2 linked regions of the Struthio camelus genome follow. The protein of the gene in region 1 purifies or fractionates together with the protein of each later gene. This does not show direct contact. Links are inferred from orthologs where the notes say so. Each region holds a gene or a part of one and is shown in the gene's direction. Other genes may lie near its edges.

What was found. Proteins that work in one complex are often made in the same cells at the same time.
Region 2: the proteins of MED26 (region 1) and POLR2D purify together in Homo sapiens (affinity purification with mass spectrometry; 3 studies listed by BioGRID and IntAct, with this or other methods). This does not show direct contact. The link is inferred for Struthio camelus from reciprocal best matches to the Homo sapiens genes MED26 and POLR2D.

The regions. Positions count from the first base shown.
Region 1 is NC_090967.1:5,333,510-5,341,377, reverse strand, and holds the start of MED26 (mediator of RNA polymerase II transcription subunit 26), read left to right. Parts: upstream 1-4,785; 5' UTR 4,786-4,830; coding exon 4,831-4,905; intron 4,906-5,434; exon of another isoform or gene 5,435-5,581; intron 5,582-7,868. Other genes in the region: SMIM7 (small integral membrane protein 7), read left to right, coding at 716-806, 1,429-1,444. UniProt on the Homo sapiens protein: Component of the Mediator complex, a coactivator involved in the regulated transcription of nearly all RNA polymerase II-dependent genes.
Region 2 is NC_090950.1:6,489,232-6,496,339, reverse strand, and holds the start of POLR2D (DNA-directed RNA polymerase II subunit RPB4), read left to right. Parts: upstream 1-4,089; 5' UTR 4,090-4,150; coding exon 4,151-4,223; intron 4,224-5,766; coding exon 5,767-5,947; intron 5,948-6,324; coding exon 6,325-6,420; intron 6,421-7,108. UniProt on the Homo sapiens protein: Core component of RNA polymerase II (Pol II), a DNA-dependent RNA polymerase which synthesizes mRNA precursors and many functional non-coding RNAs using the four ribonucleoside triphosphates as substrates.

The DNA.
Region 1 (7,868 bases):
GCCCGGCTCTGCGTGACTGCCAGTGCCGCGCTGTTACTCACAAGAGCGTTTCTCGCCTCAAAATTATATAGGCACATACAGGAAGGGACGTTTTCCGCAGAAAAATTCTTGCTTAAAGCGTTTTCAAGGCACCAAAGTACAAGTTTGCCCTGTTTTGTTCAAACAGGAGTTACCCTGTGGCTGGAATGACTGGTTTACTAAATTGCGGCTTAAAATTTGACTCGATGACATTTACGTTTAGGCACCACAGCCAAAACTGTTAATCCCAAGTCTGTGAGTCAAGAAGAAACATAAAAATGTATATTTCTTTTTGCATTCTTGAGCTTAGGTGCCTGTGCTGCAGAGGTAATGCTGTACTTGCAGCCTGATTTCCATATCACTGTTCATGCACCTGCGTTGCTCCTTTGTATCTCTTACTGCTGTAATGATTAAAGTGACAGGAAAGCTGCAGACTACCACAAAGGACTGTCCTCTCTTTCTAATACTACAGTGACCTCTTTTTATCACGTATTTTCCCAGAAGTTCATGGTAGGGATGTACTACATGTAGTATGGATCGTTGTTGCCTAAATTTTCAATTGTCTTTTTTTGCTCACTGACTTTTTTTTTTTCCTTCTATTTTAAACTGAGAGTTGCTTGTGTTTTCCAGCTGAAAATGTGAATTATTGATGTACAAGGCGTTTTTCACATCAAAAGTTTCTTCTCCTGATTTTCAGGTGACAACATCAGAGAGTTCTTGCTGAGTCTCAGATATTTTCGAATCTTCATTGCCTTGTGGAACGTCTTCATGATGTTCTGCATGATTGTGTAAGTAGAGCTGTGCAGCATCTTGTCATTTGTTTATCCAAAGTTATATACTTGGGGGGGGGGGAGTTACTGCAACTACCTTTTTTTCTTATCCCTCTCTCTGTCTCTCTGTCTCTCTCTCTCTCCCTCTCTCCACTTGTTCCTTAGCTACTTTTCATTTTACTTATGTCTACTTTGATCTTCAAAGACTTGACTGACTCCACAATTTTTTTGCTAATGCGTTCAACCTGTAGTACACAAAAATCTCTCTGCTGGTTTGTAAGTCATTTAGTCTTAGTTATAGGGTTTCTCGCTGTGTGTTGCTTAGATGCATCATCATTTGGTTCAGCATTTCAGTGTAACTTTTCCCTCCCTAAAATTAAGAAAACGGTAAAAGTCCTCCCAAGTAGCAGAATGGAATCAGCTTTGCAAATAGTCTCTGGAAACCACAGATGTAAGTCCTGATAGGCAGGCTAGCAAATATCTCCTCTTTTGCACTTATGTAGCTGTATGTTCTGATGTATGGGAGGGCAGAACTGATGCCCAGATGTATGCTAGTGTTTCACCCAGCTGGAATGGCGTTGCTATGACTATTAATGGTTGTACCCAATTCTCATCTACTTTTTTCTGTTGCGTCCACTAGGTTATTTGGATCTTGAAAGTCATCCACAAACATGTCTGTTAACTTGGAAGAGACTTTTGGCTGGAAACATAACTTTTCTGTAAAGTAAAAGACCATAATGCTTTCAAAATACTGCCCTGGGATTGTGGCTTGTTCTTCAGTACAAGCTCTAAAATATTAAAGGGACAGGACACGTTCATCCTCTTCAGTCAGTCGTATAATTACATGGCTTATGCTGGTTTGCTTGCTGCTTGGGGAAGTAAGCCTTTAGGCTCCTGAGCCAAAATGTTCAAAGTAAAATCATTTCAACGTTACTCAAATAGAGAACTTTAAATTGTTTTGGTTGGCTTAGAGTATGGTGCTTAGTATTCAGTGTAGAATTGCAGCATAATGGAAGACCACAGACTTAAAACTGTGCAGTTTTAGTCATTCCCAGCTCTTGACGTGTCTGCCAATGTCATGATTGTCTAGGTTACTTGAAATCTCACTTCTTTATTCTCATTTTTATAAAGTTGAGCAAAGTATTATACTGTTTTAAGTTTGAAAACAGCGTCCATTTTTTCCTCACTGTTACATTTAGTTTGTTTGAGAAATACACAAAGATGATGAAAAACATGTGATTCTCTTTATTTTTTCCAACAAAATGCTTTTTAAATTAAAATTTCAAAGATGGTGTTTTTTTCCTAAACAAAACGTAGGAGGAGTTGAATAGAAAAATTGCAGAAATTGTTCTATATGCCAACCCTAAGGAACAGTTTTGGAATCATTTTGGATTTGGTTGAATATAGAGGTTCTATTCATGGGTAAAAATGTGTTTGATGTCCGTGTTCATTCTACTGCATGAGAAATCAATTCAGTATCAATGTTTCTGAGAAATTTTAACTAGTCTGTGTTGCAACTGTGACTGGCTTTTGATGGTATTTATTTATGTTGTTAGCCTCTTTGACTCATAACTTTCCCCCAGCATCACCAAAATAACTTGACAGAGTGCAGTGCTGGTTATCTTTTAAAACAAAGTGAAAACTATTAGTGGAACTTTCTCAGCCTCAATTTCTTCAGCTATGTAACTGTTGAGAAGAAAGAGAGGCCTCAAGATTTTAAACCGAGGCTTGGTTTTAACCAATACCTTGAATTTTATCTGGATGCAGCCAAGTAGTCAGCACACAGGTGTCATCTGCTCGCAGCAGTTCACTCCAGTGATGCATTTTTGTATTACCTGAAGTGTTCAAAGTGTTCATCCGCTCTTTTGGGGATGCCTCGCAGTCATGAACATAGACGAATATATGGAGAAAAGGATCCTTCAAGAGAGGTTTGTATTGCACAGAAGCATTTACAATCTTCGGCTAAATTATAGGAGATGTCTTGTGTGTAATTTTTGTATTTTATACCTTAACTCTTTTCTAATGTATTTTTAATGAGTAAAAGAGAGTAATGTGCTGTTCTTGTCATGGTATCTGTGAGATGGCATCCAGACAAGTCCACTGCTTTATATAATCCTTGGAAAGCATTTTCTCCCTAACGTTCATTCAGCTGAGTCTTCCTCAGTGAAATGTACATGGCAGAGATTGTAAGAAGTTTTTATCAGTTTTATGCCTAAGCCACTAGAGGGCCCTTATAGTCAGCAGAGAAGCACTCGGGTCTCATTTTCAGACTCTGGGTTTTAATTCTCACTCAGAAAAATGGTTGTTCCTGTGCAGAACTCATATTCCGCTTTCTGAGTGACCCTTTGAATATGGCGAACACAGGGAATGGAGGATGATCAAACTCTACTGGTAAAGGAAAATACACAATTTTAAAGCTCCAAATAGATAATGCAGATTAATACTGAGTGCTGTCACCCCAAAATTTCAGTTCTTCAGAAGAACAGAAGTTCAAAGGTAGTCGTTCTGCTCCCATCCAACTGCTTTAGAAATGACGAGAGTAGTTAATTTGGAACTGCTCTTAAATGCTGTGGAAGGGCTGACTGCTTACCAATTGTCACGTCCGATGTCCATCAGTACAAAATCTTGTACATTTGCTTTTGTACTCAGTCCAATTACGTATGATAAGCTTCTAAAAACCTAACTTGTGCTTTCTTCAGAATCAAGGAGAGGCAGTAGAAGAGACAAGTTAAATATGTCTTTGAACAGAACGGTATTTGTTAAGATTTTGTAGGCTTAGCTCTTTCCACATAGCAATTGTAAGTTTATCTATGTATAGTTTGTATGTAATGTCAGAGTTACCTCACCCGTTGTTTTGAAAATAATGAAAATCTGAAGTTCCTCTACTAGGCAAAAACTTCTCTTAGTCTTTTGTGAGTTTGGAATTGGAAATCATTTCTTTCAGAACACATTTGACTTTTCACAAGCAAGTAGGAGTGTGTATCACCTTCCTGCAAGCATAAACTAAGGCCTCAAAATGTGTGCGTTTGCCTTGTGTCTTTAATAGCTGAGTAATGGCCCTAGGAAGAGATGCTAAGAGACAGCATGGGTGAGGAAAGCAGTAAAAGCATTTTTTTTTAAACGGTACACTGCAGAAGAGGAAGTATTTTTTTGTTTATTTCCATCTTTCAGTTGGACCTAAGCTGTGTACAGATTTACACGGTACTGAACAGTAGCTGCTGAGAGTGGGTTTTCTCTGATACCCAACACTGACTCTTGGGCTACATCTCTTAAGGTTAATTCTTCAAGTACATAGATGCAGGAGAAATGAATATATATCTAAAACGTGTCTTCACATCGGACATCTAGGAACTGCCTCTTGTAGACGATGACTCCCAGAAGTGCTGACAGAGCAGGGACTATTCAAACCTTTGCAAATAAACGCCTTGGCGTCCCGAGGGTGTCCTGTGCTTCGTTCCCCTGCGCTGCGGGGGCGCCGGTTGCCGGGGGGGGGGGGAGCGGGGGCTGCCCCCAACCGCCGCACCGGTTCGAGACGGCGGCCAGACCAGGCCCCGCCACGCGCTTCTTCCCCCCCCCGCCCCGGACGGCTCCCGTCGCCGGGCCGGCCCCCCCCTTCCCCCCGACAGGCACCTCGCGGCCGACTGCGCATGCGCTGCACCGCCACCCCCGCCGCCGCGGCGCATGCGTGCCCGCCGCTGCGTGCGCCGTACGGCGGCAGACGTCAGAGGCGCGCCGTGCGTAACGGCGTCGGGCGTGTCCCATGGTGCCCTGCGCGGGGCTGGCTCCTGCCCACAGTTGAGTTCGGCCCCGAGCGGAACAGTCGGGCCCGGCCCGGTCGCGCCGCCGCGGCCCCCCCGCGCCCCGCCCCGCCCCGCGCGCCGCTCCCCCCCCCTCCCCCGCCTGGCGGGGAGCGATCATGCCACTCCGGCTCCCCGAGGAGGCCGCCGCCGCCGCCGCCGGCGAGTGAGGAGCCGCCGCCCCGGCCCGGCCCGGCCCCGCCGCCCGCCCGCCCCGGCCGCAGCCGCCCCGCTTCGCCCAGGCAATGACAGCGGCTCCGGCGCCCTCCCCGCAGCAGATCAGGGACCGGCTGCTGCAGGCCATCGACCCGCAGAGCAACGTGAGTACGGCCCGCCGCGCCCGCCGCTCGGGTGCCGGCAGCGCGGGGGACGCCGGCCGCGGGCAGCCCCCCTCCCGCCCGGGGGGTCCCGCCGCGGCTCGTGGGCCGCGCGGCCGCCGCCTCCGCCCGCCCGCCGGGACCCCGGCTGCGGCGCGGCTCCTCCCCGGGCACCGGAAGCCTCCGCTGCGGGCGGCAGCGGGGAGCTCCGCCGGCGCCGTGCCCGCCGGGGGTCCCGCGGCGCCTCGCTGCTCCGCGCGGCGGGGCCGGTACCGGAACCGGCGGTCTCTCCGCTGCCGGGGGGCCGCGTCCTTCCGCCGCTCCCCCCCGCCCCGGGCCGGCTGCCGCTGCCCGGCCATGCGGCGTGCGGCCCGGCGGCCTCCCGACGCCAGGCCGCGGCTCGGGCGCGGCCTGCAGGGGGCTCTGGGCCGGCTCCCGCCGCCGCTCGCCGGGACCCTCCGCGGCGCCCACCTGTTCCTCGGGCCCGGGGCCCCCCCCGGCCGGCCGTACCGGGGCGCCTGGAGGCGCCGGACGGTGGTTTGGCGGCTCTGGCGCAGGGCAGGCTCGCTCCTCGCCTTTATCCCTCTCCGCACGGCGCTAATGAGCTTATCCGCTGGCTCTGGGATGTAGCGTGAGCGCAGAAGTCGGCGTTTGCTTCACCTGTAAGTGGGTTTCACCTGTAAGTTGCGGTTATCTGAAGTGTTATTTAATCCATTTAAGGTTTTTGGCATGTTAAAGCAGTTTTCCGCTTAGGCGTTTGTTTCTGGGAGAGGACTGCGGAGTCTGCAATCTGTCAGATTGCTAAATCTTAGCTCAAAAGTCACTACAGCAGGATGCAAAGGTGGGTTTGGCTTGACCATCTGTGGCTTTTTGGGGGGGGGGGGCGGGCACAGCTAAGGGTGCGTCGCACTGAATGGCAGTTCCAGGAGGCTGGGTATATAAAACAAGGTTTTGACTCTATTAAAGTCATACTTCTTTCCTCTTAATAACTATATTCGGTATTAGATGTGTATTGCAATCTTGAAGTAGCTAATAAAGTTCTTGCAGTTTGGAAACGTTCTAGAGCAGCCTGTGTGTGGCATGAAAACTGAAGAAAAATCACCCTGACCTTGTAATTTCTTGAGTAATCTACTATGATGTACATCTGTCGTGAGCAGGAGCATTACATGTTCTAGTAACAGTAACGAATTGTAATGGCAATTGTGGGCTTTTAAATGTCAAAGTTATTCAAGTTTGCAGTACTTTAACTCGGTTCTTAGTGAGATGTCTGTATACTTCATGAATTCTGTTTGCTCTGGGTTCTCTTGGTGGCTGCAGTCTTTTCACTTGACATTAGACTGAGCACCTACCTAGTTTAATAAAACTCTTAAGAGATCTGTGGCTTCTTTTAACTTTAAAGCTGTTGGCAGCCCTGGTTCTCCTACCTCTGGTGTTACTTTCTAAAACACTGTGGCTGTAAGTAACCAGGAGATATATTTTATGATGGATACTTCTCCCTTTCCCCATCCATTAATGCTAAATAATGCTGTATTTTCTGATGCCTCTAAGAGTGCTTCCAGCTTGGTTGTGACGAGGGGGTTCAGAAATAACTAGACAATTCTCTGCAAAGGGAAGTAGAGCATCAGCCAGCAGCTCTGCTGAGCTTCTGACAGGTCAGTAGCCGCATATGCTTGAAGAGTAGTGTATATTAAGTTATAATTCTACATACTTGATACTTATCCAGGGCAATAATTAGTGGTGGAAAAATCGCCCCATTGTTTAGAAATGCCTGTAGGCAGGGGGCTGTCTTCCATTTTAACCTCTTCCTCAAATGAGACTGGCGTAGCTGAGGTTAGTTGGTGCAGACTTAGATGTCAGAGGTTTTTTTTTTCTCTGAAGCCTGTAGAATAGATGGTAAACAATAGATAAAACTACCTGTCTTGCTGTTTTCATGAAGGGAACAAAAAACTTAAATCTTGAACACTTTTAAAAGTAAATTCTGAATTGAATCTGACTCGAGTCCCAATGTGAAAGTATAAGAAACTGCTCTGATAATCTTTTCCTGCAGTAAGAAGTTAATGCAGCTTTGAGCCGCAGTGCTGTTAGCACTGGCAGAAAATTGTAGCTCCTTTCTTCTGGCCTTTTAGACTCTTGTGTTAAAAGAAGTGCTTGCATTCAAACTTAAAAGTATTCATTATTGTGATTGACTTCCTTGTTTACCAAGAAAGACAAGCTGTGAGGCCTGGATTTCATTCAGACTTTTCCAATATAATTGTTGCTGTGTATATGTGCATGTTTCTGGAGGGGAGTAAGGGTGAAAACTGCCCTGATACCCTCACGTGTGCAGAAGGCCAATCCAGTTTTGTGAGGGTGAGGAGAGGGAAGACTATTCTCTGTAGTGCTTTAATTTGGGATGATTTGAATTTAAGCTTCACTGATATGTTCTCTAATACAAGCTGTTTCTCTTCTGTGGATATCCCAATGTAACTGTAAAGGTCTTTGAAGTGCATACAGAGCTGGAGTAACTCTGATGTCCTGCTTTAACAAAATAAAAAATAAATTGCCCTATCTGTGTTGAGTTTAGTTGTTCAGAGTAATCTTTTCCCCAGGTTCTTGGTACCTGCTTGCTATCAGAAGTCATCTTCTGCACCAATTGTTCATCTTTGTTTTAACCACTGCGTTAAGCCCTGTTTTAATTGTACAGATGCATTTAGCGCTTGAGATCTCTTCTAGTAATTGATGCAGAACATACTTATAACTTAGTTTCACACACTTAGTTTAGAGTTTACATGTATGACCTTTATTTCAAAGGACACCTATAAGAAATAAACTGCTTAAATACTGTCTCGTTTGGGAAGCCACTCAAGGTATCTGGTATTATATATTCCCTTATTCAGCCTTTTCCCTTTGGGGGGAAAAAATGAGGGCAAACTGCTACAACTATACTACTTAAACAGTAAGTATCAACATCAATTTCCTTCCAAAGC
Region 2 (7,108 bases), on another chromosome or scaffold:
GCTGAATTCTGTGGCACGCTAAAAATCCTGAATTTGTAAATCCATTTTAAACTGCCAATTTTGTTTTTGCTTTTTGTCTTCAGGTGTTCTTAAAAAAATAACTTCATTTCAGGAAGAAAAAAAAAACCGCCATCTTTTCAGATTTTTGCTAACTGTTTGAATGTGTGCTTTGGGACAAGAGTAATTGAATTCTGTAATAGTTGTGATGTAAGTACCTCTGGCTTAAATATATTTTCCATACGTTTTCAGGTTATTGCCCATTTCTGATCTATGGCAAGGATCCCACGTTTCCTGTTCGTGGTTCTTGGGAAGGGCAGCCATGGCTACCAATGAAGAACAGGTATATGACCAAAAAAAAGATGGGGGCGAGGATGTGACTTAAATATGCCTGGGAAACTCACTGGCTTGAGAGCAACTCCAAAAAGCGTGCAATCTACCAATTAAACTTCCCTGGAAGACTGAAGAAATGCAAGTAGGCAAAAAATCATTTTCAGTAAATATGCTTCTGGTACTAGTGAAGTAAGAAGGTAAATTCCTTAAGCAATATGAGGAGTGTGATGAGAAGGGTTCTGTGGCTAAGATGAGTTTCATGTGACTCTCATCTGAAATTCTGAAGTCAGCCATAAAACTAGCATCCACTGTTGTCAGACAAGCTACCAAGGTTGTTCTTTCAACTCTTGTCAGCTAGAACACAGTGACTTACGTGTATATTTTTATGGCATATATATATTACTTGATTTTTTCTGTTTGTTTGTTTCACATTTAAATAGTCTGGCCTAAAATTTGTCCAGCATTTTTAATCAGAGGTTCTTTTATGCACGTTGCTCACTGTGACTGTAGTAACACTCAGCAACTCACTGTGCAGATGAGTTCAAGTAGAACCAAACGTACACAAGACTGCATACTGAAAAAGTTCAATCTCTACTAAACGTAGAGCACCAGGATAATTCTCCCAAAGACATTATTCTGTTTTCACTTCTGTTTGAAATAATAAACAAGAAGAATTACTCATTTAGCACTGACTTTCTTCTAAAAACAAGTTGCAAAAGGTGAGGAGAAACTTGTGCAAGTAATCTTCGTTTGAAATATCTTGTAGGGTTTTATTCAAAACACAAAATAGAATTTTATTTTTGGACAAGGCTTATATTAAAAACTCCATAATTGTGACAGAGAAATGTCCTTCTAAAAGACAGAAATTAAAAACAAAACACTTGCATGCAATTCAATCAATTCATGTTTATGCTGATGTACGTATCTTTGCTTTGTAAGTATCGCTCTCAAACTGAGTTGTAGTACATGGAGCAGTGGGATACTATACTTTGTTCCTAAACTGTTTCTGCTACAGTTTGTGACAAGGTGAGCTTTGAATATGTTTTGATGATTGCTCTCGAAACACAAAAAGCCCAAAAGACTTTTGTTCTCATGCTCCTTAAAACAAGTATGTAACCCTATAAACTGATGATCCATACCTAGATTGTCAAACCATAATTTTTCTTTAAATATCGCTAGCCAGATTACTTTTATAATCAGATGAAGTCTGATGTAAATCATGTATTGCACAGCCAGTCAATAATATTTTATGTTTAGATGTCATACATATGTATTAAACTTACCAGATTCTGCAAGAGCCCTTTTTTACTTTGAGGTTTATTATCATTTTATTATTTGATATTAATATAACTTTATATGGCTAATATATGCTCATTCATTATAGTTTTGGATATATAATTCTAAAAGGAGTAAAAATAAATGAAGGTAAAATGCTATGAAAATGTAAACTTGAAGGTTGTACATAGATTTTTTTTTTAAATATAAATTATACTTGAAGAACACAAATTAAAAAGCATTTATCTTATGCAATAGTGGTTCTTATGGCACACATTAATCTGAGCGGGTGAAGTTATTTCCACAGGGGTTTTGAGCTATTCCTATCAAATGCTAGAGATGCTGATGACTTGATGGAAAAAAAAAATTGGGGTTTTGCTATCCTAATCTTACCATTCTGGATCTGTCAAAAAGCTTGAATTCTTAAAAAGCTAGGTTTGTTTGACACTCCACACAAATAATTACTGCTAGAAAGCTGAAAAGGTAAGATGGACTGTTAGGAAGGTAAGATTTCTTTTCCTGGTACATTTGAAAAAAAGGAAGGCTATTACAGAATACTCTCTGTGCTTAAACTGTTAATGAAACCTCCTTGTTATTAGTTCCTCCTCTATTTTATTACATTGAGATATTTAGGTAAGTGGTTTTTGTAAAGATCTGTGTTGGTGCAGTTGTTACTGTGTTTGTTTTTAAACTGTGCCAACACAGAAACTGCCATGTTGGGTCTAACTAACAATCCACTAATACCCTCTCTCCAATATATGTCAGTGCTTTTTGCCCTATAATTGTAACGGCTCTTTTGATGATAAATTAACTTGGTCAAATTGTTTTTTTGCCTCTGTTCATTTTAGGATATGACTAGTGAACATGCACAAAACTTCCTTTTTCACTCACTTTAGTCTACTGCATCTTCCTTTTCTATGCACCTTTTCTAATCCAGTTCATAAATGCTACTGAAGCAGTCATTATAAGAGAAGAAGAGGCCGCTGCGTTTTAAAAAGGGAAAAAGTCAGGCACTTTGTTATGTTTGGTCTGTTTAAGTGACTGAACAAGATTTGTGTGTTATCTGTGTTCTTGAAATGCTGCAAAAAAGATGGGGAAAAAGCAAGTTCCGTGTGTGACTCTTATTTATCTAGCTCTCCAGAACTTAACAAAACACATCCGTGATAATAAATCTTTATCTTTCATGATAGCCACTTTCGTGGTACCTTTAAACCCTTGCAAGTGTTTGGCTTTCTCTTAATTGTTCTAGTTTTCATATACTTAAGTAGAAAAATATTTGTGAAAAAGAAAAAAAAAATCATAACTTAAACCTCCACAAGCTACCTACTCTTTGGAGAATCATTAATGTTCTGAGCAGAGAGGTTATTTGAGAAGCCATTAAGATTCCAAGTTATTTTAAATGCTTCTCTCATCAGTCTGGCCTGGATTTCCTTGTTTTCTTGTAAACCTAGTTGAAATGGTTTAATTTGCCAGATGTTGCCGGAGATATTTTTATTCCATCTTCCTGAATGTCTTTCTGTTTGTACCACTTAACAAATGAGTTTTCTATCAGTTTCTCCACCATACTCCTATATCCAGGTAACAAACGTTAAAGATCTAAGATTTGGTCCCTATATATTCTTATAGCTTATGCTTAGTGTGTTCCTTCTCCCAGCACGTAGGAAGCAATTCACTTAGGCACAGATGCAAGTTCGTGAGAGCAGGAGTTGTTCTTCATTGTGAATCCCCCAACAGTCTATTTTTGCTTTTCTTTAAGGGCACAGAATGACACAGGTCTGATAAGATGATTAAGAGTCTTAGGCTGGTTAGGCACTTGCATGCGAGGTCTCCAAAGGAAAATAGTACTCTGCAAGTTTTGCTGGCAGTGTTCCCACGACGTGGGAGCTATAATGATTTTCAGCCTGCCTACGCGCTTTTAGGGGTCGACAGATTACTGCTAGATAATTCTGCAAAAGGCAACCTCCCTTCCCAAGTGTGTGTACCCTCGCTACTTATAAGGATGCTCGGTATTTATATCGATACAAGCTTAGCTCTATTAATCGCCGTGAACTAGACGGACGTTCTGGTAGGGGCAGTCAGGTTTCCTAGGCTCCCTGACGGCCTTCCGTGCCGGATGAGGCCGGGGAAGGCCTGGGCAGACAGGGGCCTGCTCTGGAGGCCGGCCCGCACCGCGGGGCAGCAAAGGTGTGAGCTTCCCGCTTATCCCCTCAGCGCCCGTCTCAGCGCGAGGGTCCTTCCTCTAGGGTTACCTGGGGGGGAAAATGAGGGCGGCGTCCCTCAGCGATGGCTCGGCAGCCTTCTCTGCTGCTTTACCTACTGTGAGGCTTAGGGCTGCAAAGTCTTGCTAGTCGCTCTGCCTTCGCAGAAACAACGCTCCGGCCCCCGGCTGCTTCGGGCCGCCGGCGCGGGCACCAACCACCGCCGCCGCCGCCGCCGCCGCCGCCGCCGGGCGGGACTCGGCACCCGCCCCGCCTCGCCGGCTCCCCCTGGCGGGGCGCCGCGCCGCGCCTTCCGGCCGCCGGCGTTTCCGCTGCCGGGTGAGGCGATGGCGGCGGGCGGCAGCGACCCGCGGGCGGCTGACGTGGAGGAGGACGCCTCGCAGCTGGTCTTCCCCAAAGGTGCGCGCCGCGGGGCGGGCGGCCTGTGCGTGCCCGCCCGCCAGGGGGGCCGGAGCCGCGCGGCCGTTGGAGCCGCGCGGCCGTTGGAGCCGCGCGGCCGTTGGAGCCGCGCGGCCGTTGGAGCCGCGCGGCCGTTGGAGCCGCGCGGCCGTTGGAGCCGCGCGGCCCCTCTGAGCGGCTGACTCCCCGTTTCCCAGCAGGGATCCCTGCGACGGGGGCTGGAGCTCGCTGATTAGCCCCAGCTCTGCTCAGCCTCCAGATTTCCCCACTTCTTGTTGCATAGCCCCAAACCAAACGTTAAGAAGCAGGGATAAATAAATATGTATTTACAGAACCTGAGGTAAAATATACATATTTGTGGGAGCTAGCATGGCTAGGATAACGTTTTTCTTATTTACGTGCCTCATTGAACATGTATGCGAGAGTAAAAGATGCTTCTCTGTTTTGGGTTGTAGTTAAAAGGTCCTTGATTTTTGGTGTGACTGTCAGTTTGTCTTTAATGTGTCTTGACGTAAAGAGATTGTTTTACTTTGGAAATCTCCTGTGTAGAGCTTGAATTGTAACTAATGATCTTTTCACAGTCTGTGTAATTTTTTTGAGAAAACTGTTCTGGAGCTGTGTTTGCTCCTCGGACATGTCCTGGAAGAGGAAAAATTGCAGATACGCTGCTTATCTGAGTTAGGAAGAAAAGGGTAGTCCTGGCGGACTTTTATTTTGTGTATTTTCCCACTAAAAGCTACATCCTACCCATGACTGGCCTGTGACATTCCCACCCTGCGCAAAAAAAAAAAAAAAAAAAAAAAGGTGCCAGTTCCTTTCTGGTCGTTTTTACCAAAAAAAAAAAAAAAAAAAGCCTTGAGAAGGCACTCTGCAATGCCATCCCCGATCCTGCTGCTTTGAACAGCTCGTATTGCTGATGGACAGCAACGTAATAAAAGATCTTACTGTTGGAATAAATATACTGATGATTATGATGATGATGAGCCAAACTAAGGAGAGCTGAGCTACTAAAAAGGGGGAAAAAATCTGTTAAGATAGGTTAAAACTTTTTTCTGTTAATACAGAATTTCAGTGGGTCAATTAGGATTTCAAGGAAATGAAACCTTTTTGAAAAATGTTCAGCAGCATCCATGTTTAATTAAGAACTGCATGGAGGCCTTCCGAGACCATAAATGCCACTTCTGATTTTTCTGCATATTCTAAATATTTTTTCCTAAAGCAAGTAATACGTTGCTTAAGTTCTACCAAGAAATGAGTGAAGAGAACACGTTGCAAAACCGTACAAATCCGGTGGTTATGGCTGTGAATGTAAAACATGCGGCCAGAAAGACAAACATCACGCAAAATGCTGTAATTTTTATCTTCATATTCATTATGAAATACAGTCCAATTATTGATGCAAAGGCCTTGCTCAATTACAGTGAAACACATTGTTCGTTTTCTTACTGTCCAAAACTAGATTTGCATACAAAACTTCTATAAATGGACATTTTCATCCATGCTTTTTCTTATTTTCTGCTGGTGTTCACTCATTCACGTGAAGAATTTGAAACTGCGGAAACTCTTCTGAATTCAGAAGTACATATGCTTCTGGAGCATCGGAAGCAACAGAATGAAAGTGCAGAAGATGAGCAGGAGCTCTCAGAAGTGTTCATGAAAACTTTGAATTACACAGCCCGCTTCAGCCGCTTCAAAAACCGTGAAACCATTGCCAGTGTTCGCAGGTGAGTGGAGGAGTTAGGATACAGGATTATACTGGGGACTTTGATACGTTATGTTGGTGCTGCTTTATGAAAGTACAGTTTAGTGGTGTTTTCTGATTTGGACTTCTATATCTTGTTTTTCTGGAGAGGCAAGAAACTCGATCTTTGTAGAGAGTTTTACTTGGTCTAAGGTCAGGCCTTCTGAGTGGCTTTGATATCAGTATTTAAATGACAGCAGATTGGAATAAATGAAAATATTTTCTGGACTACATGGAGAATAATTCTGTGGAATTGGGGTTAATGGCTGTGATATTTTTTCTATGTTCAGTTATGCCCTTTTATCTTTTTTATTTTTAATCTTACCTGTAATTTCACCACCTTGTTGTCTTTACCTACAGTTTGCTGCTCCAGAAAAAGCTCCATAAATTTGAATTAGCATGTTTGGCTAACCTGTGTCCTGAGACAGCTGAAGAAGCCAAAGCTTTGATTCCTAGGTGAGCGTTTAGATAGGCTGAAGAGACCGCCTTATAGTTTGCTGTGGTGTAAGGCTAGCTATGGACAGATACCTTCTCTTCGGTCCATCTGTGTCAATGGAACAACCAACTCGTTGTCCCCATCTGTATTCACCTCCCCGTTGATCTGTTGGAGGGGTAATCTTTTAAGTGTCCCTAATATAGTGAAGATAAATGCCGACTGGACTAAGCGTAAACAATTTTAGTGGAGGTTTTTAGCCTACCCGGATATTTTTTTATTTCCTTGAAGCGAACGACACAGTGCTCCCGTGGACTGTTCTGTGGATAATGTACAAGTCAGACAGCGACTTCTTCCATTCTCCTGTCTTGTTTTTCTAGCTTATAGCCTGAGCTACAGGAAGAAGTGAAACATTAATCTGAATTATTGTTTCCTCCCATGTAAGCTAAGATTTCATAGTCAGCTGGACTGGTTTATGAGTGTAAGGCTACATGGACTTCATTCAGAGATTTGTTTAAACCTTCACCTGCCTTGCCTTTTTGATAAAATGATTTGAAATTGTTCAGCAAAACGTTATGGAAAAGATAGCGTTTGCTAATTTAGAGAGGAGGCACGATATAGGGCTTAGAGCGATATCTGTTCAGTAATGTTACAGAGGGTGCCTCGTGGGCACCATAAAGGTGGGTAATGATGGCGTGGAGACTTACAGGA